Linked DNA regions of Mytilus edulis. The protein of the gene in region 1 purifies or fractionates together with the protein of each later gene. This does not show direct contact. Links are inferred from orthologs where the notes say so. Each region holds a gene or a part of one and is shown on either strand. Other genes may lie near its edges. The genes, in order: NADPH--cytochrome P450 reductase-like and ER membrane protein complex subunit 4-like.

Region 1 (16,951 bases):
CCGACCCCTCTAATTTTTTGACATTTTTTTCAAATTTTGAACTCTAGTTTCAGATTTTTGAACATAGCGCCCTTCGATACCTAGCACAAAAGAAGCGCCAGTTTCTCTTCTACAATACCTATATAGTCATTCCCCGTGACACCCCTCATTTTTTTTCTCTAGAAGCCCTGGAATAGGCCGACCCCCCTAATTTTTTGACATTTTTTTTCAAATTTTGAGCTCTAGTTTCAGATTTTTTAACATAGCGCCCTTTGATACCTAGCGCAAAAGAAGCGCCTGTTTCTCTTCTACAAGACCTATATAGTCATACCCCGTGACACCCCTCATTATTTTTCTCTAGAACTCCTGGAATAGGCCGACCCTACCCCCATTTTTTTGACATTTTTTTCAAATTTTGAACTCTAGTTTCAGATTTTTGAACACAGCGCCCTTCGATACCTAGCGCAAAACAAGCGCCTGTTTCTCCTCTACAATACCTATATAGTCATTCCCCGTGACACCCCTCATTATTTTTCTCTAGAAGCCCTGGAATAGGCCGACCCTACCCCCATTTTTTGGACATTTTTTTCAAATTTTGAGCTCTAGTTTCAGATTTTTGAACATAGTGCCCTTCGATACCTAGCGCAAAAGAAGCGCCTGTTTCTCCTCTACGAGACCTATATATTCATACCCCGTGACACCCCTCATTATTTTTCTCTAGAAGTCCTAGAATAGGCCGACCCCCCTATTTTTTTGACCTTTTTTTCAAATTTTGAGCTCTAGTTTCAGATTTTTGAACATAGCGCCCTTCGATACCTAGCGCAAAAGAAGCGCCTGTTTCTCCTCTACAAGACCTATATAGGCCTTCCCCGTGACACCCCTAATTTTTTTTCTCTAGAAGCCCTGGAATAGGCCGACCCCCCTTAATTTTTGACATTTTTTTCAAATTTTGAGCTCTAGTTTCAGATTTTTGAACATAGCGCCCTACGATACCTAGCGCAAAAGAAGCGCCTGTTTCTCCTCTACAATACCTATATAGTCATTCCCCGTGACACCCCTCATTATTTTTCTCTAGAAGTCCTAGAGAAGGCCGACCCCCCTAATTTTTTGACATTTTTTTCAAATTTTGAGCTCTAGTTTCAGATTTTTGAACATAGCGCCCTTCGATACTTAGCGCAAAAGAAGCGCCTGTTTCTCCTCTACAATACCTATACAGTCATTCCCCGTGACACCCCTCATTATTTTTCTCTAGAAGCCCTGGAATAGGCCGACCCCCCTAATTTTTTGACATTTTTTTTCAAATTTTGAGCTCTAGTTTCAGATTTTTTAACATAGCGCCCTTTGATACCTAGCGCAAAAGAAGCGCCTGTTTCTCTTCTACAAGACCTATATAGTCATACCCCGTGACACCCCTCATTATTTTTCTCTAGAAGCCCTGGAATAGGCCGACCCCCCTTAATTTTTGACATTTTTTTCAAATTTTGAGCTCTAGTTTCAGATTTTTGAACATAGCGCCCTACGATACATAGCGCAAAAGAAGCGCCTGTTTCTCCTCTACAAGACCTATATAGTCATACCCCGTGACACCCCTCATTATTTTTCTCTAGAAGTCCTAGAATAGGCCGACCCCCCTAATTTTTTGACATTTTTTTCAAATTTTGAGCTCTAGTTTCAGATTTTTGAACATAGCGCCCTTCGATACCTAGCGCAAAAGAAGCGCCTGATTCTCCTCTACAAGACCTATATAGTCATTCCCCGTGACACCCCTCATTATTTTTCTCTAGAAGTCCTAGAGAAGGCCGACCCCCCTAATTTTTTGACATTTTTTTCAAATTTTGAGCTCTAGTTTCAGATTTTTGAACATAGCGCCCTTCGATTTCTAGTGCAAAAGAAGCGCCTGTTTCTCCTCTACAATACCTATATAGTCATTCCCCGTGACACCCCTCATTATTTTTCTCTAGAAGCCCTGGAATAGGCCGACCCCCCTAATTTTTTGACATTTTTTTTCAAATTTTGAGCTCTAGTTTCAGATTTTTTAACATAGCGCCCTTTGATACCTAGCGCAAAAGAAGCGCCTGTTTCTCTTCTACAAGACCTATATAGTCATACCCCGTGACACCCCTCATTATTTTTCTCTAGAACTCCTGGAATAGGCCGACCCTACCCCCATTTTTTGGACATTTTTTTCAAATTTTGAGCTCTAGTTTCAGATTTTTGAACATAGTGCCCTTCGATACCTAGCACAAAAGAAGCGCCTGTTTCTCCTCTACAAGACCTATATAGTCATACCCCGTGACACCCCTCATTATTTTTCTCTAGAAGCCCTGGAATAGGCCGACCCCTCTAATTTTTTGACATTTTTTTCAAATTTTGAACTCTAGTTTCAGATTTTTGAACACAGCGCCCTTCGATACCTAGCGCAAAACAAGCGCCTGTTTCTCCTCTACAATACCTATATAGTCATTCCCCGTGACACCCCTCATTATTTTTCTCTAGAAGCCCTGGAATAGGCCGACCCTACCCCCATTTTTTGGACATTTTTTTCAAATTTTGAGCTCTTGTTTCAGATTTTTGAACATAGTGCCCTTCGATACCTAGCGCAAAAGAAGCGCCTGTTTCTCCTCTACGAGACCTATATATTCATACCCCGTGACACCCCTCATTATTTTTCTCTAGAAGTCCTAGAATAGGCCGACCCCCCTAATTTTTTGACCTTTTTTTCAAATTTTGAGCTCTAGTTTCAGATTTTTGAACATAGCGCCCTTCGATACCTAGCGCAAAAGAAGCGCCTGTTTCTCTTCTACAAGACCTATATAGGCCTTCCCCGTGACACCCCTCATTATTTTTCTCTAGAAGCCCTAGAATAGGCCGACCCTCTTAATTTTTGACATTTTTTTCAAATTTTGAGCTCTAGTTTCAGATTTTTGAACATAGCGCCCTACGATACCTAGCGCAAAAGAAGCGCCTGTTTCTCTTCTACAAGACCTATATAGTCATACCCCGTGACACCCCTCATTATTTTTCTCTTGAACTCCTGGAATAGGCCGACCCCACCCCCATTTTTTGGACATTTTTTTCGAATTTTGAGCTCTATTTTCAGATTTTTGAACATAGCGCCCTTTGATACCTAGCGCAAAAGAAGCGCCTGTTTCTCTTCTACAAGACCTATATAGTCATACCCCGTGACACCCCTCATTATTTTTCTCTAGAAGTCCTAGAATAGGCCGACCCCCCTAATTTTTTGACATTTTTTTCAAATTTTGAGCTCTAGTTTCAGATTTTTGAACATAGCGCCCTTCGATACCTAGCGCAAAAGAAGCGTCTGTTTCTCCTCTACAAGACCTATATAGTCATACCCCGTGACACCCCTCATTATTTTTCTCTAGAACTCCTGGAATAGGCCGACCCTACCCCCATTTTTTGGACATTTTTTTCGAATTTTGAGCTCTAGTTTCAGATTTTTGAACATAGCACCCTTCGATACCTAGTGCAAAGGAAGCGCCTGTTCCTCCTCTACAATACCTATATAGTCGTTCCCCGTGACACCCCTCATTATTTTTCTCTAGAAGTCCTAAAATAGGCCGACCCCCCTAATTTTTTTACATTTTTTTCAAATTTTGAGCTCTAGTTTCAGATTTTTGAACATAGCGCCCTTCGATACCTAGCGCAAAAGAAGCGCCTGTTTCTCTTCTACAAGACCTATATAGTCATTCCCCGTGACACCCCTCATTATTTTTCTCTAGAAGTCCTAGAATAGGCCGACCCCCCTAATTTTTTGACATTTTTTTCAAATTTTGACCTCTAGTTTCAGATTTTTGAACATAGCGCCCTTCGATACCTAGCGCAAAAGAAGCGCCTGTTTCTCCTCTACAAGACCTATATAGTCATTCCCCGTGACACTCCTCATTATTTTTCTCTAGAAGCCCTGGAATAGGCCGACCCCTCTAATTTTTTGACATTTTTTCAAATTTTGAACTCTAGTTTCAGATTTTTGAACACAGCGCCCTTCGATACCTAGCGCAAATGAAGCGCCTGTTTCTCCTCTACAAGACCTATATAGTCATACCCCGTGACACCCCTCATTATTTTTCTCTAGAACTCCTGGAATAGGCCGACCCTACCCCCATTTTTTGGACATTTTTTTCGAATTTTGAGCTCTAGTTTCAGATTTTTGAACATAGCGCCCTTTGATACCTAGTGCAAAAGAAGCGCCTGTTTTTCCTCTACAAGACCTATATAGTCATACCACGTGACACTCCTCATTATTTTTCTCTAGAACTCCTGGAATAGGCCGACCCTACCCCAATTTTTTGGACATTTTTTTAGAATTTTGAGCTCTAGTTTCAGATTTTTGAACATAGCGCCCTTCGATACCTAGTGCAAAGGAAGCGCCTGTTCCTCCTCTACAATACCTATATAGTCGTTCCCCGTGACACCCCTCATTATTTTTCTCTAGAAGTCCTAGAATAGGCCGACCCTCCTAATTTTTTGACATTTTTTTCAAATTTTGAGCTCTAGTTTCAGATTTTTGAACATAGCGCCCTTCGATACCTAGCGCAAAAGAAGCGCCTGTTTCTTTTCTACAAGACCTATATAGTCATTCCCCGTGACACCCCTCATTATTTTTCTCTAGAAGTCCTAGAATAGTCCGACCCCCCTAATTTTTTGACATTTTTTTCAAATTTTGAGCTCTAGTTTCAGATTTTTGAACATAGCGCCCTTCGATACCTAGCGCAAAAGAAGCGCCTGTTTCTCCTCTACAAGACCTAGAGATCGTTCCCCGTGACACCCCTCATTATTTTTCTCTAGAAGTCCTAGAATAGGCCGACCCCCCTAATTTTTTGACATTTTTTTCAAATTTTGAGCTCTAGTTTCAGATTTTTGAACATAGCGCCCTTCGATACCTAGCGCAAAAGAAGCGCCTGTTTCTCCTCTACAAGACCTATATAGTCATACCCCGTGACACCCCTCATTATTTTTCTCTAGAACTCCTGGAATAGGCCGACCCTACCCCCATTTTTGGGACTTTTTTTCGAATTTTGAGCTCTAGTTTCAGATTTTTGAACATAGCGCCCTTCGATACCTAGTGCAAAAGGAGCGCCTGTTTCTCTTCTACAAGACCTATATAGTCATACCCCGTGACACCCCTCATTATTTTTCTCTAGAAGTCCTAGAATAGGCCGACCCCCCTAATTTTTTGACATTTTTTTCAAATTTTGAGCTCTAGTTTCAGATTTTTGAACATAGCGCCCTTCGATACCTAGCGCAAAAGAAGCGCCTGTTTCTCTTCTACAAGACCTATATAGTCATTCCCCGTGACACCCCTCATTATTTTTCTCTAGAAGTCCTAGAATAGGCTGACCCCCCTATTTTTTTGACATTTTTTTCAAATTTTGAGCTCTAGTTTCAGATTTTTGAACATAGCGCCCTTCGATACCTAGCGCAAAAGAAGCGCCTGTTTCTCCTCTACAAGACCTATATAGTCATTCCCCGTGACACCCTTCATTATTTTTCTCTAGAAGCCCTGGAATAGGCCGACCCCCCTAATTTTTTGACATTTTTTTCAAATTTTGATTTCTAGTTTCAGATTTTAGAACATAGCGCCCTTCGATACCTAGCGCAAAAGAAGCGCCTGATTCTCTTCTACAAGACCTATATAAACATACCCCGTGACATCCCTCATTATTTTTCTCTAGAACTCCTGGAATAGGCCGACCCTACCCCAATTTTTTGGACATTTTTTTCGAATTTTGAGCTCTAGTTTCAGATTTTTGAACATAGCGCCCTTCGATACCTAGTGCAAAAGAAGCGCCTGTTTCTCCTCTACAAGACCTATATAGTCATACCCCGTGACACCCCTCATTATTTTTCTCTAGAAGTCCTAGAATAGGCCGACCCCCCCTAATTTTTTGACATTTTTTTCAAATTTTGAGCTCTAGTTTCAGATTTTTGAACATAGCGCCCTTCGATACCTAGCGCAAAAGAAGCGCCTGTTTCTCCTCTACAAGACCTATATAGTCATTCCCCGTGACACCCCTCATTATTTTTCTCTAGAAGTCCTAGAATAGGCCGACCCCCTAATTTTTTGACATTTTTTTCAAATTTTGAGCTCTAGTTTCAGATTTTTGAACATAGCGCCCTTCGATACCTAGCGCAAAAGAAGCGCCTGTTTCTCCTCTACAAGACCTATATAGTCATACCCCGTGACACCCCTCATTATTTTTCTCTAGAACTCCTGGAATAGGCCGACCCTACCCCCATTTTTTGGACATTTTTTTCGAACTTTGAGCTCTAGTTTCAGATTTTTTAACATAGCGCCCTTCGATACCTAGTGCAAAAGAAGCGCCTGTTTCTCCTCTACAAGACCTATATAGTCATACCCCGTGACACCCCTAATTATTTTTCTCTAGAAGTCCTAGAATAGGCCGACCCCCCCTAATTTTTTGACATTTTTTTCAAATTTTGAGCTCTAGTTTCAGATTTTTGAACATAGCGCCCTTCGATACCTAGCGCAAAAGAAGCGTCTGTTTCTCCTCTACAAGACCTATATAGTCATACCCCGTGACACCCCTCATTATTTTTCTCTAGAACTCCTGGAATAGGCCGAACCTACCCCCATTTTTTGGACATTTTTTTCGAACTTTGAGCTCTAGTTTCAGATTTCTGAACATAGCGCCCTTCGATACCTAGTGCAAAAGAAGCGCATGTTTCTCCTCTACAAGACCTATATAGTCATACCCCGTGACACCCCTCATTATTTTTCTCTAGAAGTCCTAGAATAGGCCGACCCCCCCAATTTTTTGACATTTTTTTCAAATTTTGAGCTCTGGTTTCAGATTTTTGAACATAGCGCCCTTCGATACCTAGCTCAAAAGAAGTGCCTGTTTCTCCTCTACAAGACCTATATAGTCATTCCCCGTGACACCCCGCATTGTTTTTCTCTAGAAGTCCTAGAATAGGCCGACCCCCCTAATTGTTTGACATTTTTTTCAAATTTTGAGCTCTAGTTTCAGATTTTTGAACATAGCGCCCTTCGATATCTAGCGCAAAAGAAGCGCCTGTTTCTCCTCTACAAGACCTATATAGTCATTCCCCGTGACACTCCTCATTATTTTTCTCTAGAAGTCCTAGGATAGGCCGACCCCCCTAATTTTTTGACATTTTTTTCAAATTTTGAGCTCTAGTTTCAGATTTTTGAACATAGCGCCCTTCGATACCTAGCGCAAAAGAAGCGCCTGTTTCTCCTCTACAAGACCTATATAGTCATTCCCCGTGAAACCCCTCATTATTTTTCTCTAGAAGCCCTGGAATAGGCCGACCCTCCTAATTTTTTGACATTTTTTTCAAATTTTGAGCTCTAGATTAAACAATGACATAAAAGGTGCTATATTTTACAGGGTAGGACTACTTTTACATACGTTCTAAATTGAAGAGGGTGCATAGGTGGCCCTACACCTACAAATAATCCGTTGATAGATGCATAGTTATTGTGGTACTGAATATTAGCCTAAAAAGTTATGCGACTTGTTAAATCAATAGATTGGATAAAAACCATTTCAAAATTGAGTTTAAATTGCTATATTTTAACTGATTTTCTGCCTTTTTAAATATTTTTTTATTTAACGGCCGTTGTTGTCTTATTCTGTTTTTTGGTTTCTCGATATATCGCCTTATTGTTCGATGGCTTATTGTTCGCTAGCTATTGTTCGCTAGCTTCTGCCTGGTTTTAAATTGTTTCAAATTTGTCGTATGGGAACCTTGATAGGATAGGTTTTGCTCTTAGTGAAGCCGTAGCAACAATACTAGAGTTGCTAAAAGTCGCTTGCAGTGGCGGATCCAGAATTTTTGTAGTTGTGTCCCTTTGTGTGTGTAAGGGGGGACTGACTACCTAAGAGGGGGTCCGCTCTGGTTCCTACCCTTAATCCACCCATGTTTTGTTTCAGTTGAATAATTATCTCATTGGCAAACTCAAATCGACAGCTTCAGTCTTATTCTATACAGATATAGGAAGATGTGGTATGAGTGCAAATGAGACAACGCAGTCTCCATTCAAATAACAATTTATAAAAGTAAACCATTATAGGTCAATGTACGGCCTTCAACACGGAGCCTTGGCTCACACCGAACAACAAGCTATACTGAAGGGCCCCAAAATTACTAGTGTAAAACCATTCAAACGGGAAAACCAACGGTCTAATCTATATAAAAAAACGAGAAACCAGGGAAACACGTATAAATTACATAAACAAACTATTGTACATCAGATTCCTGACTTAGGACAGGTGAAAAACATTTGCGGCGGGATTAAACGTTTTAATGGTACCAAACCTTCTCCCTTTTTCTGAATTTAAACAATAGCATAAGATCACAACATTGAAAAACACACGATAAAATATCAATTGGCAGGCTTAACTCAATCAAAAAACGTAAATTAACACACTATATATATATGAACGACTAAATTTGATCTGTGATATCTAAATGCAAATGCACAGTTTATAAAATATTAGGGACAAACATTCAAGGCCAAAATACAAACAAACAAGTCCAAGCAAAGCCATGGCAAGAAACCACTGCAAAACATTTAACCCTTCGAAAATAATCACTTTTGAAAAAAAACCGGTTTTAATAATACAGGTAAATCTTGAAGTTTATACAAATGTAGTAAGAAAAAGTGAAAATTAGAAGATATTCTAAATAATCAAAGCTGGTATATATAGACAAGATCCATATTAATATAAAATAACAAAAAAACATTATAAACAGTGAGTATCAACAGGTCGAATTAACAAGAAAATATGTATAGGATATATTCAGAGTGGCATAAGTTCCCTGGTTAGACACAGGTGTATTTTTTTTTTAATTTATGCTTGACTTTATCTTTATTGCTTATTTGATTTGGTCGATTAAAAAAAGTTTCCCCAAGTATAAATACCCCCTTAATTAAATCAGTTGCTTATGATAAATAACCGTTGACTTAAAAATCCCACCAGAGCCTTATAGTGAAATTCGGAAAAAATACGGCTTACTTTCGGATAAGATTTATTATAAATATCCTTTCTCACATCCGGTGATAATTTTCGTTAACCCATTGGAAGGATTTAGGCCCAAGGCCAGGGTTATGTAAAATCTGTGAATCTCTACTAATATCCATGAAACAAGTTTATTAATTATTTACATCATACGACTTAGAACAAGCCAGGTAATGTATAATTAGCATAAACAAAGTATAAACAGTAGAATTAGGATAATTGCAGGACGAGACCCATAGTGATTAGTGAAGTAAAATTGTATTTACAGTGATAAATCTTTAATTCATTGTATATATACTGGCTTTAAATCTTAATGTCATTATTTTATACTGTGGTAAACATGATTAAGCCTTAATATGTTACTTTTCTAAGCGGCATAAAATTCTCATCGTAATGATTACGTGACAAATTGTCGATCTAGATTATGACCTTTCCATAATTTCTATCATTCTAATAGATGATGTAAACTGTGTCATTTCTATAAAAAGGCATATTTCGATGACAAGTTTGTTTAACTCTGACTATTGATGTAAAGATCCTGACACAATAACAAAAATGAAATGTGCTACTTGTACATTGTTTGTACCATTTTCATATTATTATCCACTTTTGACTTCAGGTTTTAAAATTATTTGACAGGTTACCTTCATGTACTCCGTGGTGGGACATCCAGGTACTCTGTCAATTATGAGTATCCAAAAATAAGTAGAATCAAATATATGATCTGTGCAATTTGGGAGGAAATTTACTATTTTTTGATGATTTTGTTATGTGTAGAAAGCATTGAACAGTCAACTTTCCCTCAAAATGGACTGATTAAAATCTTTGGTTTACTGAATTACATTGCTCCTGCTTGACAAAGTACCTGGATGTTCTACCACACCTATCGAAAAATGTTAATTCTGGAGTCATAACTTGATATTATGAAAGCCCTTTCACAGTTAGTTCGGTCATACTGGATAGGGGGCAGATTATTTTGAAAGAGGTGGATGCATGTTTCAAAACAACTGCTCTGTTTTAACAATGTTTTCCCGTATTTTTCACACCATTTGTACCTCCATTATGAAAATCTGCCCCCTAACCAATATGACATACCTAACCGTGAACGGGCAACCTTAAATACAACATTACATGTACAGTATGATTAATTAACGTACATTTATTCCAAGTTAACCATCCTGTATGTACACTGTGCATTTTTTTTTGCTAGTATTTGACATTTTCTCATTTATGAAATGAAGAAAATCTCATGATTTCTGATCAATTCTTGTTATTCATGCATTCAAATTTGTAATTTTTAAGTAAAAAAAGTAAAGTGCAAAATTTTTAACTGGTGACAAATTTATGACAAGTTAACCACCTCAATTAAGCTTTTACCTGATGGGTCATAAATGATCATCAAAATTATTTCATACAAATAGAAACAGTCAATCTGCATATCTTCATTTGGTTACAGAATCGTAGGAAATTGTTTATACCACACATTTATCTTTTACATATTTTGTCATTGCCTGTCCTCACTTTTGATATAGATTAACAAAACAGGATGCTATAAGTTGAGTCTATTGTGTAACTGTTCATTTTTTTTGTACATTTAATGTATAATCTTTCACAGAGTAGGGTCTCACTCAAAGGCAAAAAGATGACACAATTATAATTTGTCCTAGTATTGAAAACTTAAATACCTACTCATGATCTGTCTACATACATGACCTCTGTCTTTTGGACTTTTAGGTTAAGGGGGTCTTTTGATTTATGGTGAAAATCAGTGTTAAACTGTCAACTGGGTTTTTATTTTTTGGGGGGGGGGGGGCTTTGGTCATAATTTTTTGACCATTTTTTCTCTATTCTGTATTATTCATATATATAAATATATATCAAAACATTTATCTTTTCTGTAGCATATCTGTAACTATAAGCAAATTATACGGACAGGATTAGTGACCAATTGATAGATTCATTATATTAGTTCCATCACATTACTTATCAGCCCATGTTTTGAGACATGCAAATCAAAATATAAACGTAACAATATATATCTTTTGAAGAAATAAAATATTTTATTTTAATCCTAATTATTATATTTTTATTTGAACATGTATATTGATCATGTTGATGAAATACTGAAAAAGAAAAAGGTCATTTTTTTTCATTTATTAAACAGTGCAAATTTAAATTAATCAGCAATGTAATCTTTAAAAAATTAACCCCCTTTTTTTAAGGGCATTAATCTTTAATCATTAAACCCCATCCAAACCTACAGGCATTTCCATGACCAATTTTGTTATGGCCCACCCCATGATAGTTTGACTGTCTTCCCCAATCATCAAACAATCCCCACCATGGTTCTGCATTGTAAGAAAAATGCAAAAATGTACCAGAGATGGGTCCGATTACTTTCAATGTAATTGATTAAATTACAATTACTTTGTCATTTGTACGATTAAATTAAATTAATGATTACATCATTTCTGAAAGTGTCTGATTAAATTAATGATTACATTGGCAAAGTAATCATGATTACATCTGATTACAATTAATTAAAAAAAAACATTTTGAATGATGTGAATGAATTAACGTTTAATATAACTATAGTTCTTTCTAGAAAGGTTTTGTTTTACATATTTTAAAATTATAACTTCAAACTTGATCTATTTGATAAACCACAAAAGTTCACTACAGACATACATGAACATTGTGTCACCCATTACACATTATCTTCATTGATCTCTGAATTATTTTGACTTCAATTGAATATGGCTTTATAAAGAGTTTGCTGTTTGTCTTCTGACCTCTTCCAGACTTTATATGTAGTTCAAGGTGCAGTTTTTGGAAGTTAAAATATGGTTGAAATAAAGTTACCAGATAAAATTATGTAAAAATTTAATAGAATTGTTCAAACAAATTGTAAAAATATACAATTACCATAAGTCAATGCATTTTACATTTCCAGGCCAAGTACATACAAAAATTAGCTTATTTTAAACAAGATATTTGTCCAACTTTTAATTGAGTTTGTGCTAATTAGATAAATTTTCACATGTCTGATTAATTTTTTATCATAATATATATATTGTCCTACAGCTATACTCAATTGGAAATTGCAATAAAAACAAACCTTAATTGGTTTCCTACCTGTCAATTCAAAGTTGACAATAATCACAATATTAACAAAACATTATAATTCAGGGTTAAAGAAAAGTATAATATTGCTTAAATATAACAGTTTTTTTATCAAATATATATATGTACATCTTTGAATTGTGAATAAATGTACATATCTTTTACTAAGGCCTTTTCAATCTTAGGCTTTTGATGGCTTTTTAATATTTTAACAGTTTATTTTTTACTGAAGTATACACATCAATTAACTTGCTTGATAAAGTAAGCCAAACTATCTTAACTTCTTGAATAAGAATAACAAAAAGGTTCATTTATTAACCATAAACACAGTTCAAGATTTTTTCATTGTAATCAGAATGTAATCAAAATGTAATCAGAATTACAGGGCATTTTGAAAAGTAATTGATTAAATTAAATTACATGTAATCAGAATTTTGGCTGATTAATGATTACAATGATTACTTGAAAAATTGTAATCAATTACAGCTGATTAATGATTACAATTACAATTACCCCAAGTCTGAAATGTACACCATCGTTGAAAGCGTAACTAGTCTACTTTTGTTTTTCTTTTGCTATTCCCAACCATATTCACCACCATATGTTAATTAATTCACTTATATTTGGTATGCAGTTGTATTACGGGTACATGTACTAGTAGCATTTTCAAATTAAGCCTCATTTCCATGCAAATATTATGCCCCTCGCCTTTTCATCATGGTGTATTGACTCTGAGATATTGCATAATTTTTTTAGAAGTTGAAATTCATAATGGGACAGCGGAGTACAGAAAATACAGAAGGGAGGTTTATATCTAGCTGGAATAGTAGATAGAACTTGTAAACTTATCTGGGTGCATCTAAAAACACCTATATATAAATTTCGATTTGTCAATGTGTGTCAATGTATAGTTACGGTATAAATTCTTGTACCTCTCATATTGTTATTTTATATCTTGTATGAGAACCAATATTCTTACCTTCATTTGTAACCTGACCTGTATAAGTCAAACACCTGTCAAGTTAGAACAAATCGTTGTAAGGAAAATAATGTATTGTGTTTAGTACTTGAAATCATGAACTCTCAATGTCAGAATTGATATGAAATTAGAGAACCAACATGTTCATATGGCTTCCCTCATTTTATGAAAATTTGATTTATATAATACCAGTATGTAGTATCAGTGGTATTAATTTTCTCAGGGTTGTTTAGTTTAAATTATTTTTGACCTTCGTATATGTTTATTTGTTGCTTGCTGGAGATGCTTTCACATGTTTCACATAAATTTTGGAGTTAAATTATTACCGGTACTTGGATTTTTGGTAAGCATGGTAAGTGAATACATTTACAATGTAGACTTTTTGTTTCAGATTTTTTTTTTTTCTTTTTTTTTTATAGTTGTTTACAGTACGGTATTTTTAAATGTTAATTTATCAGCCTTTTGGGAGACAAATAATCTAGAAGTTATTACAATGTAGTGACTCTTAAAAAAAAAGTTTGACAATGAGACAACTATCCACCAGCCTGACCAGAGGCCAAATTGAAGGGGATGCCAACATCTACATTATACAGGAAACATTACTGCATTCAACAGTGAGCACAACTTTTGGTATTTTTAAATGATCATCCTTTTGGGGAAAGGTAGAAGTTATAAGTGACTCTTAAATAAAATTAAAAAAAAAGGTTTGACAATGAGACAACTTTCAACCAGAGTCCAAAATGAAGATGATGTAATTAAAATCTACATTGTAAAGGTGACATCACTGCGTTTCCCATACAGTAAATATAAAACTATCAAAAGTCCCTGCATGGTAAAATATAGGCAAATGTAAACCTTCTAAAGAGAAAACTGATGGGCTGATTTTATTGGCTACTTCAAAACAGATTACCAACATGAAAAACAAACCAAATATTTTTCATAATTATAGCCTGTAAACCCATATTTTTTAGGAGTAAACAGCAAATTGTAAATTTGCTATATTACAGGAATACTTTTTATTGTTTTGAAATAGTCCCTTGAATTAAAACAGTTTATTGATCAACTTTCTATACATGATATAGGTTGTAATACTCTTAAAAAATTGCATAAGACTTTATTGTAAAGAGTTTAAACGTACTGTTTGCTTATAGTTATGTATATTCCCTTTAACTATGAACATGGTGAAGGTACATTGTAGTAATTTTTAGTACATGTAGGTCAAATTTCACTGAAATTCAAAATGAGTGATATCTTAAACCACAGATTAAAAGGTTATGCTTTAAACGGTAAGTAGTGGTTTAATTTTTGTATTACATTGTTTTTCTACTTAACTTAAATGTACTTAAGAATAGGATTAACGTCCTTGATGTGTTTCCTTTGCATGTTAAAAGTTACAAATCAGATGCAGATTCAGGATTTTGAAAAAGGGGGACATGCCCTCAAACTAGGCAATGTTGAGAGTCGGACATGCCCTCAAACTAGGCAATGTTTAGAGTGGGACATGCCCCCAAACTAGGCAATGTTTAGAGTGGGGCATGCTCCCAAACTAGGCAATGGTTAAAGTGGGACATGCTCCCAAACTAGGCAATTTTTAGAGTGGGACATGTCCTCAAACTAGGCAATGTTTAGAGTGGGACATGCCACCAAACTAGGCAATGTTTAAAGTGGGACATGCCACCAAACTAGGCAATGTTTAGAGTGGGACATGTCCTCAAACTAGGCAATGTTTAGAGTGGGACATGCCACCAAACTAGGCAATGTTTAGAGTGGGACATGCCACCAAACTAGGCAATGTTTAGAGTGGGACATGTCCTCAAACTAGGCAATGTTTAGAGTGGGACATACCCTCAAATTAGGAAACAGATTAATATATAAGCTAACAGCTTGTTTCTGGATCCTTTTAATTATTTCACCTGTATTATTATTATGTAAATGCCTATTTGTGTACATTACTTTCCCTGAAATTAATTAATAAAATATGTTTACACTAAACTAGGCAATGTTTAGAGTGGGACATTCCCCCAAACTAGGCAATTTTTAGGTGGAACAATTGCCCCAAACTAGGCAATATTGAGAGTGGACATGCCCCCAAACTAGGCAATTTTTAGAGCGGGACAATTGCCCCCAAACTAGGGGGACATGCCTCGAAACTAGGCAATATTTAGAGTCGGATATGTTAAAAGTCTATGCATTAACCATATAGGTAGCTCTTGAAGGGACCTGAACCCCTTAATAACCCTCTTTTATCATTAATGTGTTTTATAACAACAGTGTGAAAAAAATGAGTTTGGTTTTTGCTTATTAATGAAGACTATTCTGACCTATATAATTTCTTATATTCATGTCATTTATCCCTAGTTGTATTGTTTTCTCATTGGTTAACGTACCCAATTTTCTTATTGTTTACTCACAGTAAATCCTTTAATGGCATCAAATTTTGTGTTTGGTGAAAAAAAAAGCTTTTTCAAGGGTAACAACTTCATTTAGTGGTTTTGGCATTTGCAACTATGAAAATACAATGTAACTGAAATTTTGTATCTCATCAGTATTTAAAATAATAGTTTTCAACCACCCAAAAAATAAAAAGAATTTATATTCTTAGAATATTGATAAATCAAAGGTATAAGGTAAAAATATAGATATTCAGTGGCAGATCCCTGTTTTTGGACGATCAATCAATTGAATGGGGAAATAATATTGGGACCCCTTCCCCTCTCTCTTTTTTCCTGGGTTGTGAAACCCCCTTTTAAAAATGACTAGATCTGCCTCTGTAAAAGTGATTTCTTCTTATATGTTATATTTATCAATGTCTAAACTTCATTAAACGGTACATGTTTTTATAATTTTCTTGATCTAACTTTTACCTGTAGGTTCATATCAGTGTCATTGAACTCTGTTTGATTCGATTACAAAAGACGTATTTCAAAAGTGTTGATTTTGAAGTATGTGAATTTGTTTTTTCACACCACTTTTTAAACTCAGACTGAATAATAGATTAATTTTACATAACTTTACATAATTTTCATAATCTTGCATAGCTTGTTCACCTACATGCATATAGATATAAAACGATATTACAGTATTTGTTGGTAATGGAATAAAGGGTACAGAATATTTGTTCCAATAGGAACATCTATTATGACATTGCTTATGACATAGTTTCCACAGGGAACTTAAAATTTTGATATAAATAAGAAGATGTGGTATGAGTGCCAATGAGACATGGGAGGCAACATGTACACTCCATTAAAGTTTACAATATGTAAAAAGCAAACAATTATAGGCGGAAGTATGGCCTTCATCAAAGAGCCTTGGCTCACACCGAACAGCAAGCCTGAAAATGACTTTTGTAAAACAAGTGAAACAAGAAAACAAATGGTCTAATCTACATAAAAAAAACAAGAAGGAGAAACACCTATTAACCACAAAAGACAACCACTGAACGTCAGTCTCCTTACTTAGTTTTAAAATGCATTAAAATGCAGTGAGTTTTAGTATATATGTGTATAAAAGGTTTCTACAGATATATTTTAATAACTACATGTTTGGTTTTCTGATAAATTATTTGCCCACATTTATTGGTATTCTGCTGCCATGCTTGTCACAGTTTTTTGTTTCAAGGTCTTAAAAAATATCTGAATAAGTTGACCAAGGTTAGATTGACACTTTGATCTAATGGTCAATTTACTGACTGTCTATAAAACATGTAGTAGAAGTATTTGGATTATATTATGATGTGCTGAATATTAACCTGTTGTCAGTTTTCTAGGTATGTTTGTGTCCTAGATAATTATTGACCTTTATACAATGGGGTTCTGTAATAATATACATTTATCCA
Region 2 (13,282 bases), on another chromosome or scaffold:
ATATTATGAATAAAAGCTGTGGCCAGATATCGCCAAACCATATATGTATTTTGTTTTAATGGCACCATCTGAGATAATAGAATTTAAGTTAATAGACTTAAATTCAGTTATCGCCGGGGCCACTCACGGATTGTGTTTCATGTTTTAGATTTACCCAACATGTGTGACGATATATTCTGTGACGTCATTTAGTCCTTTTTAGAATTTTCCGCAGCAAGCAAGCTGTTTAAATTTTGTAAGCGGTAAACTTGAAAACCCGCCCTCCCACTCCTTTTTATTGAACAAGATACTGCTCTTTTGTATTTATTTTTCAGGTTTGTGTCGGTGATAGTGATGATACAGATTTGACTGATGATGTTAACTTGTTTGCTGTTGAGAAAAGTGACTTTTATTTGAACTTTGAGCATCATAAATATATTCCCGTAAATGGCAGAATTCGCTGCATAGAATCTTAATGTTAACTATGAAATTTTAGGTTTTTGGATAATACAGACTACACTTGTGTATCCCACGGTGTTTTCTAAATTTAAAGCACCAGTGTATCCCACGGTGCATCTTTACATTTTCATATATATCTATCTTCACATCTATCTATCTACCTGGTTGCCATATTATCTTCGGGTAACCGACCATAGATCTATCTACATATACATGGGTCTATGGTCTATCTATCTATATATATATATTATATATTGTATGAATCTATCATATTATGAATAAAAGCTGTGGCCAGATATCGCCAAACCATATATGTATTTTGTTTTAATGGCACCATCTGAGATAATCGGGCTTCATGAAATGAACTAGATTAACGCCAAGATGTTTTTTCACTGTATATATGATGTATTCTGTAATCTGTTATCGTAGTTCTGCCAATGAAGGCACACCTCCATTCACAAAGAGGAAAATGTATTGCACAATTCATTTTTTTGTCGAAATTTAAAATGCGCATCCAAAAGTGGCAAAATAACCAACTTATTGATCGTGGCCGCGTATGGGAAGAAGTAGAAGTAAAAGCCATTTTTCAAAAACAAGCAAATTTGCTTTTACAAATCTATCTCAATCAATCTGCTCTTATATTTATTAAGAAAGTCTATATCACATTCATTTGATGTGTTTTATCATTAAAATTTGCCATTTGATTAGAGACTTTCCGTTTTGAATTTCCTCGGAGTTCAGTATTTTTGTGATTTTACATTTATATTAAGATATAATAACTTACTTATCTTATTATTCAAAACACTGATAAGAAAAAAAGTATAATGGACCGAAACGACCATGACCGAACTTGTGTATGGCTTAAACGATAAAGACCGAACAGATTCTTGGCCGAAACGTCTCGGTAGCAAGAGGTTTCGGTCATGGAGCTAAACTGGACCTTGGTTAGTTCGGCCTTGGTCGTTTCGGCCATGATTGATTCTCTTTATTTCCTCCATTATACTAAAGATTTACAATTATACTTATTACAAGAAATCACTTCGGTCATGTAATAAAAGAAGTTTCAGTCATACATTTGTACCTTTATTTTGTATTCAGATAGATATGGGATGGAGGTGGACTGTGGGTGGGGTCTTTTTTAAATCTAAATCCTTAGAATTTGTTAATAATTGATCAAAATGTAGTTTTTGTCATGTTTTTTTTCAAAAATATGATAAAAAGTATGGGGTTCAACGGGATTTTGTTCACGCTACAGGTTAGAATTTGTATATATTGTCATCATGAAAAACAAAATTGTGTGTGATGAAAAGAAATCTACACTGCGTTTTGTTATGCGTGTACTTTCTACATTGGCTAGAGGTACAGGGGGAGGGTTGAGATCTCATAAACATGTTTAACCCCGCCGCACTTTTGCGCCTGTCCCAAGTCAGGAGCCTTTGTTAGTCTTGTATTATTTTAAATTTTAGTTTCTTGTGTATAATTTGGAATTTAGTATGGCGTTCATTATCACTGAACTAGTATATCTGATATTTGTTAAGGGGCCAGCTGAAGGACGCCTCCGGGTGCGGGAATTTTTCGCTACATTGAAGACCTATTGGTGACCTTCTGCTGTTGTCTTTTCTATGGTCGGGTTGTTGTCTCTTTGGCACATTCCCCATTTCCATTCTTAATTTTTATAAAATGGGTAAATTCACCACACAGTCTATTATAAAAACACCTTTTTTGAGCTGAGGCTATTATACTAGTATAATAGTTCCAGATCTGAGCTATAATCACCGTTATATCTGATTTATCTACCCTTGCGTTGCAAAATACAGCTGTAAATATGATCAGATACATATAATACAGAGACATATTATATATGTCTCTTGTAACTTGTATTCTATAACTTTCTCCAATAAAGGAACACCTTAATCAATGAGTATTCCACTACCAGATCAAAAGTACATATATCTTAATGTTTTAAAAAAAAATTCACACAGGTAGACATCTATCATCATTAAAAAGAATATTAAAAGTGTTTTGTATATACATATGTACCGGCATAAAAATATAAGCTAGTTCAATGTCATGAAAGGAGTAGGTCCAGTAAGACCCCTTTTTGGCCCCAAAATATAGCAGTTTTACAAAATTGTTAAAATGTAAACTTTTAGTTATTTATTGGACAGTAGAATGCTTCTGCTACATAAATATGGGCTGTTTTTGACAATACAATGCACATATATCGGGTACTAGCACCATTAAGTCGTACTAAATTACTGAAATCTTCACAATTCTAGCATTTTAGTTAAATTTCAGACAGTTTTCGTGTGAAACGAAAGTGGCTGCATTCGTGTTCATCCTTAATATTGAAATGTAAGTTGTATTTTATGATAATACATAACATATATAAAGGTTGAGGATGAACACGGATGCGGCCACTTTCATTTTTGACAAAAATCATCTGAAAAGTGACATTTTTCGGCATATTTGGTAGATTTTTCATATTTGAGCTTAAATCGGGTTGTTTTTAATGACTAAATCAGTTAAAATCTTTCAAATAAATTAATTGATTCAAATGAAATAGACACTTTAGTGTTTGAAAAGTGGTCAAAATCTTTCGTAAGATGAACCTGAAATTTGAGGCCAAAATCGGTCCTTACCGGACCTACTCCTTTAAAATTTAAAACTCTTCCAAAATATTTACAGTTTATTTACATGTATATATATGATCAAAAGAAATCGTTCTTCTGCAGGTTGGCTGGTTTTACTTAAGACAGTTAACTTATATCTGCATTACACAGTGTAGTGTGGCCACGTACCCACGCTTACTGCTTCATATGACTTTATTGAATGATCTTTATTGGGCTGCGTTGTAGTAAGTTTCAGTGAAGTGTGGCGAGATCCACGCTTACTCTCGGATAAATGATGACATATATTTAGCCTCTTCAGTAAAGTGTGTCGAGATCGACGCTTTTATTGTATTGACGAGTAGGGGAAAATTTTCCCCTACTTTGACGTATATGTTAGAAGGCGTTATAGACTATGGTTGAGCTGACAAGTGTGGCGAAATCCACGCTCATTTTGCATTAATGTTGAAGTCACTTCCTAGTTGTGTTAGTAAAGTGTGATATGATACAACACATCATTTTCTATGTGAACATGAAAAGTCTTACACATAAATAACATACTGTTTTCGACACAATACAATAAAGATCTAGACCAATTGGTATCTGCTATTTAAAATTCAAGATTGAGGAAGACACCACAGCCTTAAAAGAGATTATGTTGTATATACTTTCATTTATTTACCCTTTTTAATAAAGGGGCACTAAATGTCACATTCATGGTCACCGATTTGACTCAAATTCTCATATTTGATTTATAACAATGTATTTTTAACATTTATCCAAACTATCAAAAGTATAAGATAAACAGTTTACAGAGCATCGGGTAGATAATATATAGGTTCGTTTCGTGTGTATTCTAATCCAGACGCCATCTAATTAACTATCGATTTGACCTCAGATGACCATATAAGCGATGAAAACATAAATAAAGATATGAATAGATTAAAACAGGTATAGATTAAACATTGATAAACCAACACTTGCAATTGGATTTTTAAAAGTCTGTTTGATTTTATTTTATAGATTAAAAATAGATGTTTCTCATTGTTTTTAACCGTATAAGAATGATTTTATGTCGGCATCGAATTAGTAATCAAAATTAATGATTTACCGTAGTTTCACTTTCATTGTTGAAATTCTTTTTCTTTAAATAACCAGTACACGTACAATACATGCGTTGTCAATCTCTAGCTAGAGGTTAAATTGAAGTTACATGACTGAATACGGATTTAAAGAGGTCGACTCATTCACTTGCAAGTGAATAACTAATTATCAATGTTTCTTAGCGTAATTTGACAACATTGAAAATTTTGGGCTGCAAAAAGCGAATTGTTATTTCACTATTTCACTTTCATTATTGATTGAACAGAAAAAAATCAAACTTTCGATTTTTTTATATATCTCGTAGCTAGTGCCCCTTTAAATTAAAGGATTGGTCGATGTACGCTTCTTAAAAACATATGACATTCTTCCAAATAGTTTTTCACAAAGTTGTTGCGACTGTCATACAAGTGAGAGGTTTAGCTAGCTATAAAACCAGGTTCAATCCACCATTTTCTTGTTTAGAAAATGCCTGTACCAAGTCAGGAATATGACAGTTGTTATCCATTCGTTTGATGTGTTTGGACTTTTGATTTTGCCTTTTGATTTTGGATTTTCCTTTTGAATTTTCCTCGGAGTTCGGTATTTTTGTGTTTTTACTTTTGTGTAATTTCAATTGAAAAATATAGTCAAAGATCTGTCAAAATACTTTGGTGCTATATATAATCCAGTCCTTGATATAATATTGCTGCAACTTTTCAACACAAATAATGAAGGACGTTAGGGTATGTAATTTAGAAATAAAAGTACTGGGTAATAGATACATTTATGCTGCGGAACTAAAATAACTGGATCCTGGTTGAATTGGCATTCAGTTTGCCGATTCAAATACAAAACGGGTACCAGGTAAAACAGAAAATGTCACGAAGAAAGTTGCACAAATGGTCAATCGACTTTACTGGAATTGGTAGACCCAAAGGAGAAAAAGCACTGGTTCAGTTAAACACAGATTTAAGGAAACCAATGGGTAAAACATTTGATCCTTATTCTTTACAATCGTATGAGATTTACTAAGAAACAAATTATTGTGATTCGTGTGAACTAGTCCAAATAATTATGAAGCTTTATATGGTTCTGTTTTGACGCCTTACAGCAAGGAATTGTTTATTTAAAAGGAATGGAAACGCGGCTTATGCATCTCTGACTTAGACCGTGTTAATTACACCCCATCGCACAAACTGGCTCGTTACTTATCCAGTAGCAGTTATCAAACTTGGTCATTAATCATGAAATGAAACAAGGAATTGTCAATTTAGATATACAATTTTTTAAATGAAATAAACAGAAAATACAACCTTAAACAAAGTTTCTTCTGAAAAACATTTTTATTCTTATTCCTCGTCTTTATATTTCTCGAATGTATGCAAAATTTAAGGTCAATTTAAAGATGAAATTCAACATTATACGAGTTTTTAAAAGAAAGGCAATACAAATAGTTTAAAAAAAAGATAACCTTAAAAAAAACTTTTCCATTTTGGAATATGACTGGTGTAGAAAAGTATAAAAGGGGAAGTACATGTATGTGAACAGATGTTGTATTTTAGCTAGACAAAAGAACTTAGATTATAGGTGTTATAATAAACACCGGTATGGGATATCTTCTTCTTCTTCTTCTTCCGTTAAGGAGTTGACCTCATATTTGAGTGATTTACTAACTCCGCTCGGTAAAACAGGAGGCTTCTCCATTGATTAAAAGTGAATATTAACAAAATAATTAAAACTATTTACACTGTACAATTTGGCAAACTGATGTCTAGTTAGGCTGCATCTGGGTCCAGGGCACACTGGCTAATTTGGCCCTGAACTCCTCGAGTGTTGGTGCAGCTGCTACTGTGTCTGGCAGAAGGTTCCAGTCCCTTATAGTCTATAGAGCGTGGGAAGAAGGAGTTGTTGTATACTTCCTTAGTAGCTCTTATCTGTCTAAGTCTGTGGCCACCCCTTGTTCTGTTGTCCCCAAGTGTGTAGTAGATAGCTGGTTGTATCTCCACTAGTTGGTTCTGTATCTTGTAGCATAGTACGAGTCGCTGTTTAATTCGTCTATACTGTAGGGGATCCCACTGGAGTTGGTCTAATAATCCAGTGACGCACCCTGGGGAAGTGTCTGTGTACTGGTTGTAGACAAATCGTGCTGCTTTACGCTGTACCCGGTCGCTGTCTTTGATCAATGTGGTTTGATGGGGGTCCCACACTGTGGCAGCGTACTCAATCGATGGTCTGATGAGAGCACAATAGGCTGTGTTTTTAACAGATGGTTTGCATCGGCCCAGGTTTCTGCGGAGAAAACCGAGGGTCCTGGTTGCTTTCCCTGTGGTGTTAATAATGTGCTTATTCCACTGTAGGTCTTGACTAATGGTCACTCCAAGGTACTTTCCGCTATCAACAACTTCTAGTTGGTGTCCGTGCAAGGTGTATGTTGTTTGCAGGGTGTTGCGCTTGTTAGATATCCTCATAACTGTGCACTTTTCTGGATGGAAACACATCTGCCACTTGTGTTCCCACTCTTCCAGAGCAGTGAGGTCTCTCTGTAGAGTTGCAGCATCATCAGGATTTCTAATTTTTCTGTACACCAGGCTATCGTCTGCAAACAACCTTACATCTGAAGATGTACAATCTGGCATGTCGTTGATATATGTCAGGAATAGTAGAGGACCTAAGACTGTCCCTTGTGGAACTCCTGATAGTACATCTAAAGGAGATGATGTATGTCCTTCTAGTACAACTGACTGGGTTCTACTGCTTAGGAAGTCCTTTATCCAGTTCAATGTTGATCCTTTCACCCCGTAGTATGCCAGTTTCAAAAGCAGGCGTTCGTGTGGTACCTTGTCAAAGGCTTTTGAAAAATCCAGTAAGATGATGTCAGTCTGGTGCCCCTGGTCCATGTTTTTGGCAATATGGTTTAGTGTTACCACTAACTGGGTCTCACAGGAACGTCGACTTCTGAAACCATGTTGTTCGTCGCATAGAATGTTATGTCGATCAAAGTGATCCATGACTGTGCTATGTATAATGTGCTCTAGCAGTTTGCATGCTATGGATGTTAATGACACAGGCCTGTAATTAGAGGGTTGGTGTTTCTCTCCTTTCTTGAAGATTGGCACGATGTTTGCCTTCCGCCATTCGTCTGGAATCTTACCCTCGTCCAGGGAACGCTGGAACATCCGGGTAAGATAAGGAGCTAGTGATTCAGCTGCCTGTTTGAGAATGTTTGCTGGAACTTCATCAGGGCCTGTTGCTTTGAATGGTCGTAGTCCCTTTAATAGTTTGTAGACACCTCTTTCATGGATGACGATATTGTCCATGGTTGGATGTGGACTTGTGCCTAGGTCAGGTAGCGTACTGGTATCTTCTTTGGTGTACACTGACTGGAATTGCTGGTTCAGTATAGATGCCTTAGTATCTGTGTCACTATGTAGGAAGCCATCTTTTGACTTCAAGGTCACAATCTGGGATGCATCTTGTTTCCGGCTCTTCACATATGACCAGAATCTTTTAGGGTTTTTCTGCAAGTCGTCGCTTACTATATCTTCCATGTAGTTACTGTGTGCTTGTCTAGCCTCCTTCTGTAGTTGTGATTTCAGAAATTTGTATTTCTTTATGTCTCTTGTTTTCCCACTGCTTTTGGCAAGGGTATAAGCCCTCTGCTTTTTGTTACTGAGTCGTCTAAGCTCTGAGTTCATCCATGGGTGGGAATGTTTTGTTAAGGTGTTCCTGGTTGGTACATGTTGGTTGATGGCATCTAAAATCAAGCCTTTTATGTTGGTCCAAAGACTGTTGACATCCTCAAAATCTGTGTTTTTAAAGATGTTGTATTTTTCTTTGAGGTGTTGATTAATCATGGCGATGTTAGCTTTTTTCCATAGATATATTTTTCTCTTTTGCTGTTTGGGTTTTTGTAAGCCTTGTGAAAAGTCTAGAAGAACAATATCATGGTCACTGTTCCCGAGAGGTGGTATGGTTTTACATCTATTGAGTTGGCCTGGATGGGATGTAAAAAGCACATCTAAGGTGTTATCTCCCCTGGTTGGTTTGTCCACCAACTGTTGTATATTTAGGTTGGCTGCCATTTCAAGAAATGCGTTGTTAATATCTCTTGATGTTTGAGTACCCTGTATTGTGTAGTTTTTCCAGTCAATGTCTGGTAAGTTGAAGTCTCCACCAAGGATGAAAATACTACTTTTGTGTTTTTTGCGTAGATCAGTAATGTCTTGTATTGCATTGTTTGCAGTTTGTTGATCAAGCCTATTTGGTGGTCTATATAAGCAGGTTATTATGGCTTTCTTTTTCTGGTTTATGTTGATGCTCCCAGATATGAGTTCTGTGTCTTTCCCTGATTTAAGATGGCTAAGTCCAAGTGTTGTCTTTGCTGCTATGAGGACTCCTCCATGGGCGTCTGTTTTCCTGTCCCTGCGTATGACATCGTAACCAAGTTCTGGGGGGAAAATTTCACTTGTGTTGATTTTGTCGCATAACCAAGTTTCAGTTCCTAAGATGATATCTGGACGAGCGGACTCCAGCATAACCTGGAGATCATTTCTTTTATTCTTTACGCTTTGAAAATTGATAAGCAGTACTCGGAGTTGCTTCTGTGACTTTTTGTTGGATTGTTGCTGGCTTTTAGTATGGGTGTCTGAGCGTTTTGGTGATGATGATGCTATAGGGTCACCTATACTAGTGTCAATTTCAGATGATATATTTAAATCAGTTTTGCTCACTTCTGATGTACATGATGATAACACTGAGTAGGTGTTGCTATCAGCTGAATCAATCAGATCATAGAAAACAGTTGAGTGGTTAGGAGCGTTACATACTACGCAATACCATGAAGCTGATATATTTGCAAGGCTTGAATATTCCTTCGAGTCAATGCCTGTACAAGGTGCGTGGTACCAATTATTGCATTCATCACATGCAAGAGCTTTTTGTCCCCACCGACAAGCTTTGTCGCATATGGCACACAAGTATTTTGGAGTTCTTGGGCCTGGGTTTCTTTCAATACCACCTATTAATAATAACAGTTTTATATATGCAGAGTTCTTATCTTTAAGTAACTTCTCGTTACTCCTGTAATTAGCTGTGATTTTAATCCAGTGATATAAACATGTGTCTGTTGATATAGTTGTTACAGGAATCAGAGAGATTGAGTATTCTCTGGACGTATATCTAGTTGTTTGTATATGTAAGGGGCTATGGTGTGTTTGTCTTACCGTCGTAGCCAGGTAGAAATAGATGACTGTGAACCACACTGACATTGTTTATGTTTTGAACTAGACCGGAAGTGGTATTCGTGATGAGTTTTCGATCTGTTTGAGTTTCGAATCAAAATTGAAAAAAGTTCATTTTCCTCCTGGTGGTCCTGGGGTAAGTATTTACAGATGATTGTGTTGTGAGATAGTATGTGACACTTATCTGATCGTGGAAATGTACCAAAGATTGTTATAAATAAGTCATGTAAGTGTTTTAGGTAAAATTTCAGGTAGTCAAGATATCCAATTTGCAGGTATAACCTATCATGTATCATTGATAAGCTAATTCTTGTCGTATATATATAAAAGCAGGAACAATGTATACTAACTATAGGTTGTCCCTGATTTAAGGTGTCAAAAACAAATAACGGCTAACACACCTGTTAATTAATTTAATTCTAAACCATGTGGTGGTGCCATACAAAATTTAACTAGAAACAGTTAAAACTTTCACACATTCACATATTATTTATTTTAACACCAAACAATGCCAAAGGAGTATTTTCGAACTCTTAAACTACTGCTCTTCGAGAAAAAAGGAAGGAACTGTTTTGCTTTTAAGCTTATGGTAATTTGCGGCAACGCTTAACAATGAAAAACTGCAATACCAATCAACGATAAAGTATAAAAATAGTATTTGACAAAAATAAAGAAATAAAATTGTATATAAAACGGCACAATCAATCCCAATAGAAAGTCTTATATACATTTCTTGCCTGTAATTTCCAACTTCGTCAGTGCAAAACGTGACTGAACAAATTGGGGTCAAAGTGAAATATAAACAAGTGATTTTGAAAAATAATAGCAAATTCGTTTTTATCACCATTTTCATAAAACCAACACTATATAATAGATAAAAGATTAAGCTTTTAAATTGTATGTCAATGTCACAGCTATTCCAAGTAGATATTTAACCATTACCAGAATACGGCGTGTTGGTGTATATATTGATGCACTACTTAAAATTTTCAACATGTTTCGAAATAAAATCATTTAAGTTGTACCAATGATATTAAGCATTCGTAATTTAGACCAAACTGTAGGAAATTACTCCTTCCTTAAAACGATATCTCATTTTCTCACTTTGTTCTTTCTACTTTCCAATATTTAGAAGAAATGGTATTACACCTCAAGATTGAAAGTCATGTTTTGACAGAATAATGAAATTCAAAACTGAAATTTCGAAAAATTGTAGAAAATTCAGAAATGTTACCAGAAACTTAAAAAAGTGCATAACGATAGAATAAGGTTTCAGATTGTTCTAGAGCCGCGTTTCCATTCCTTTTAAATATACAATTCCTTGCTTACAGCGACGTTATAACGCTGGAGTTATTTTTTTTGATTTTGAGAGGCAATTTTGTGCTCACATTTGAGACCCAAATTAGCCATAAAAGAATCATAGACACACATTCTTACCTTTTATGTGTTAGTTTGTGCAAAATATTTCCAATTATTTCTTGAAGTAATGATAAATTATGCTACTATTCCATACGAGGCAGAAGGTTATCTACTGCTTTTTTTTAAATGTTTATCTTATTTCTTTTAAAAATGTTTTAATAGAGTATAAACATGATAAAATAAATGTACAATGCACCAAACTCGCTAAAAGTTTACAGGCCCTAATTTCTTTGTGAATTTTCAATAACAAATAGCATGCAATACCTTCCCTTTTGATCAAATCCAACTTAATCAAACTATTTAAGGTGGGTCTCATTGGGGTCCAAGCGTGACGCGGGATTTTTTGCCGATTTTTTTGTAAGAGTGACATGTGAAAGTCAAATTATTGTGCCGTGAAAACAGGAAATAAAGTGTAGTGGGACATGGGAAATTACAAAAAATTAGAATGGCTTACTTACATAGTGTCAACGGGATACGGGAATCTGACAAAACAGTAAGTGGGATCCAGTAATCAGAACCCCCCAATGAGACCCCCTTAAAGTAAGCATGTAGCCTATAGCTATTTTATTCTAGGATTCAATAGACATGATATAGGTATTAAAATTCTTGATTTTTGCAGGATACAATGAAGATGCTACAGTAGCCAGACATGATGACAAGGAGGATAGTCCTGATACACAGAAACTCATTGATAAAAGATCATGGGATATTGCACTAGGACCTCTCAAACAGATCCCTATGAACTTTTTCATCATGTGGATGGCAGGAAATTCTATTTCAATATTTCCTATTATGATGGTTGGGATGATGTTTTTCCGACCTTTTCAAGCTTTGATAAGTATTCAGGCTACATTTGGTACAATAGAAGGAAGCAGCTCATATCTTCAAAAAGCTGTATATATCTTGGGAAATATTGTTTGCCTGGTATTGGCTGTTTATAAATGTCAGGTGATGGGACTTTTACCAACACATTCATCTGATTGGCTAGCATTTGTAGAGGCCCAGCATAGAATGGAATGGTCAGGTGGCGGAGCAGCATTTTAACAAATTTAATGTGTTTATTTTACAGACTTTCGATTGCAACAGGAAGAGATAGAACTATCATTTGAAATATTTTTTTCCATTGTAGAATAATGTCCAAACTACAACTCAACAAAATATTGAAATTCTACAAAAAAAGTATGACAAAGAAAGAAAAAGAAAAAAATACATTTCCTGACAATATTTTCACAACCAGAAATTTAAAACTAGATTATGTACAAGTGCAATAAATATTATATTGTTCCCTTTTTAAAACAAAAATATGTACATGCTTATCAAAAGAGGTGTTAACATATAAAAGAATGAAAAGAATGAATTATTTGTACTGATATATTAATAAATTTATGTCAAGTACTCTAGTACTCGTCTCTGATCTTTGTGTTGTCTGTCTTGTTTTGTTATTATGTTGTGTCCTACATGTACTTTAATTGAGTTTTACATGAATCTTATTTTCAATGGCTGTTATTCTGATTTATCTGTTTATAGTATTTTCAACTTCAAAATTGGAAACAAATAGAATTTTAATTTACATTCACAACTTTTGTTTTGATTTTAAATGGGTTTTAGCTCAGTTTTTAAAGAGTAAAGGTACAAAAGAAATTATAATTCACAATTGATGTGATTTTATTATAGGGTTGCATATAGAAATATGGTCACTTATAAGAGGGTGGTAAATAGGGGTGCTTACATGAAAAAACGTGAAATAAAACCTAATTTCACTTTGAACGTGAATAATTTCTGTCATGAATGTTGCACGAAAAATAAATACTTTGATTTGAACATTTTGTGACTGAGTCATTGTCTTCTTGTGTATACATTAACTCTGTTTTACTTGATATTCCCGATTTAGTATACACATTTATGATGTAATTGGTTTACAGCTTTTAAAAAAGTATTTCTTGACGATCCCGTTTAAATTTTATTTGAAAAATACTGAGCACACAAAATAAGCATTTGAAAATCAGGATGCACGTAAAATTAAATAAGCAGAACACATTGAACGAGGCATCTCTCTTGCATGACTGATTCTCAAATAAAAAAGTAAAGTTGAACGTCAAATAATAAAAGGCGATCGACATTGCACAAAATTAACCCTTTACCACCCTCTTATAACATTCATTATAGTAGTTGAACCCATCTGAAAAGAGGCTTTCATTTGGCTGTTTGGGATGTATGAATACACAGCCATATTTGGTCAAAATTTTATGCTTATTAAATAGAGTTATGCTGTCTGCATGTTCAAACTTCAAGTACATTGCAACAACTCTTTTGGGAGTTCAAAGGTTGCCTTTTGCAATGACAAATTTCAGCCCTATTTGTACAAATTTACAAGTTTTTGCATTCTTACATGTTTTTTTCTGCTTACTTTTACATATTTAAGCCATTTAATTATAAAATAGAATAAGATTAGTGTATAGATGCAGCATGGTTTTATCATGTGTTCTATTACAC

The links.
Region 2: the proteins of NADPH--cytochrome P450 reductase-like (region 1) and ER membrane protein complex subunit 4-like purify together in Homo sapiens (affinity purification with mass spectrometry; 3 studies listed by BioGRID and IntAct, with this or other methods). This does not show direct contact. The link is inferred for Mytilus edulis from reciprocal best matches to the Homo sapiens genes POR and EMC4.

What each region holds. Positions count from the first base shown.
Region 1 is NC_092349.1:17,110,369-17,127,319, reverse strand, and holds the start of NADPH--cytochrome P450 reductase-like, read left to right. Parts: upstream 1-9,052; 5' UTR 9,053-9,181; intron 9,182-14,194; exon of another isoform or gene 14,195-14,399; intron 14,400-16,951. UniProt on the Homo sapiens protein: This enzyme is required for electron transfer from NADP to cytochrome P450 in microsomes. It can also provide electron transfer to heme oxygenase and cytochrome B5.
Region 2 is NC_092345.1:104,074,911-104,088,192, reverse strand, and holds the start of ER membrane protein complex subunit 4-like, read left to right. Parts: upstream 1-4,926; 5' UTR 4,927-5,006; coding exon 5,007-5,115; intron 5,116-11,408; coding exon 11,409-11,833; 3' UTR 11,834-13,282. UniProt on the Homo sapiens protein: Part of the endoplasmic reticulum membrane protein complex (EMC) that enables the energy-independent insertion into endoplasmic reticulum membranes of newly synthesized membrane proteins.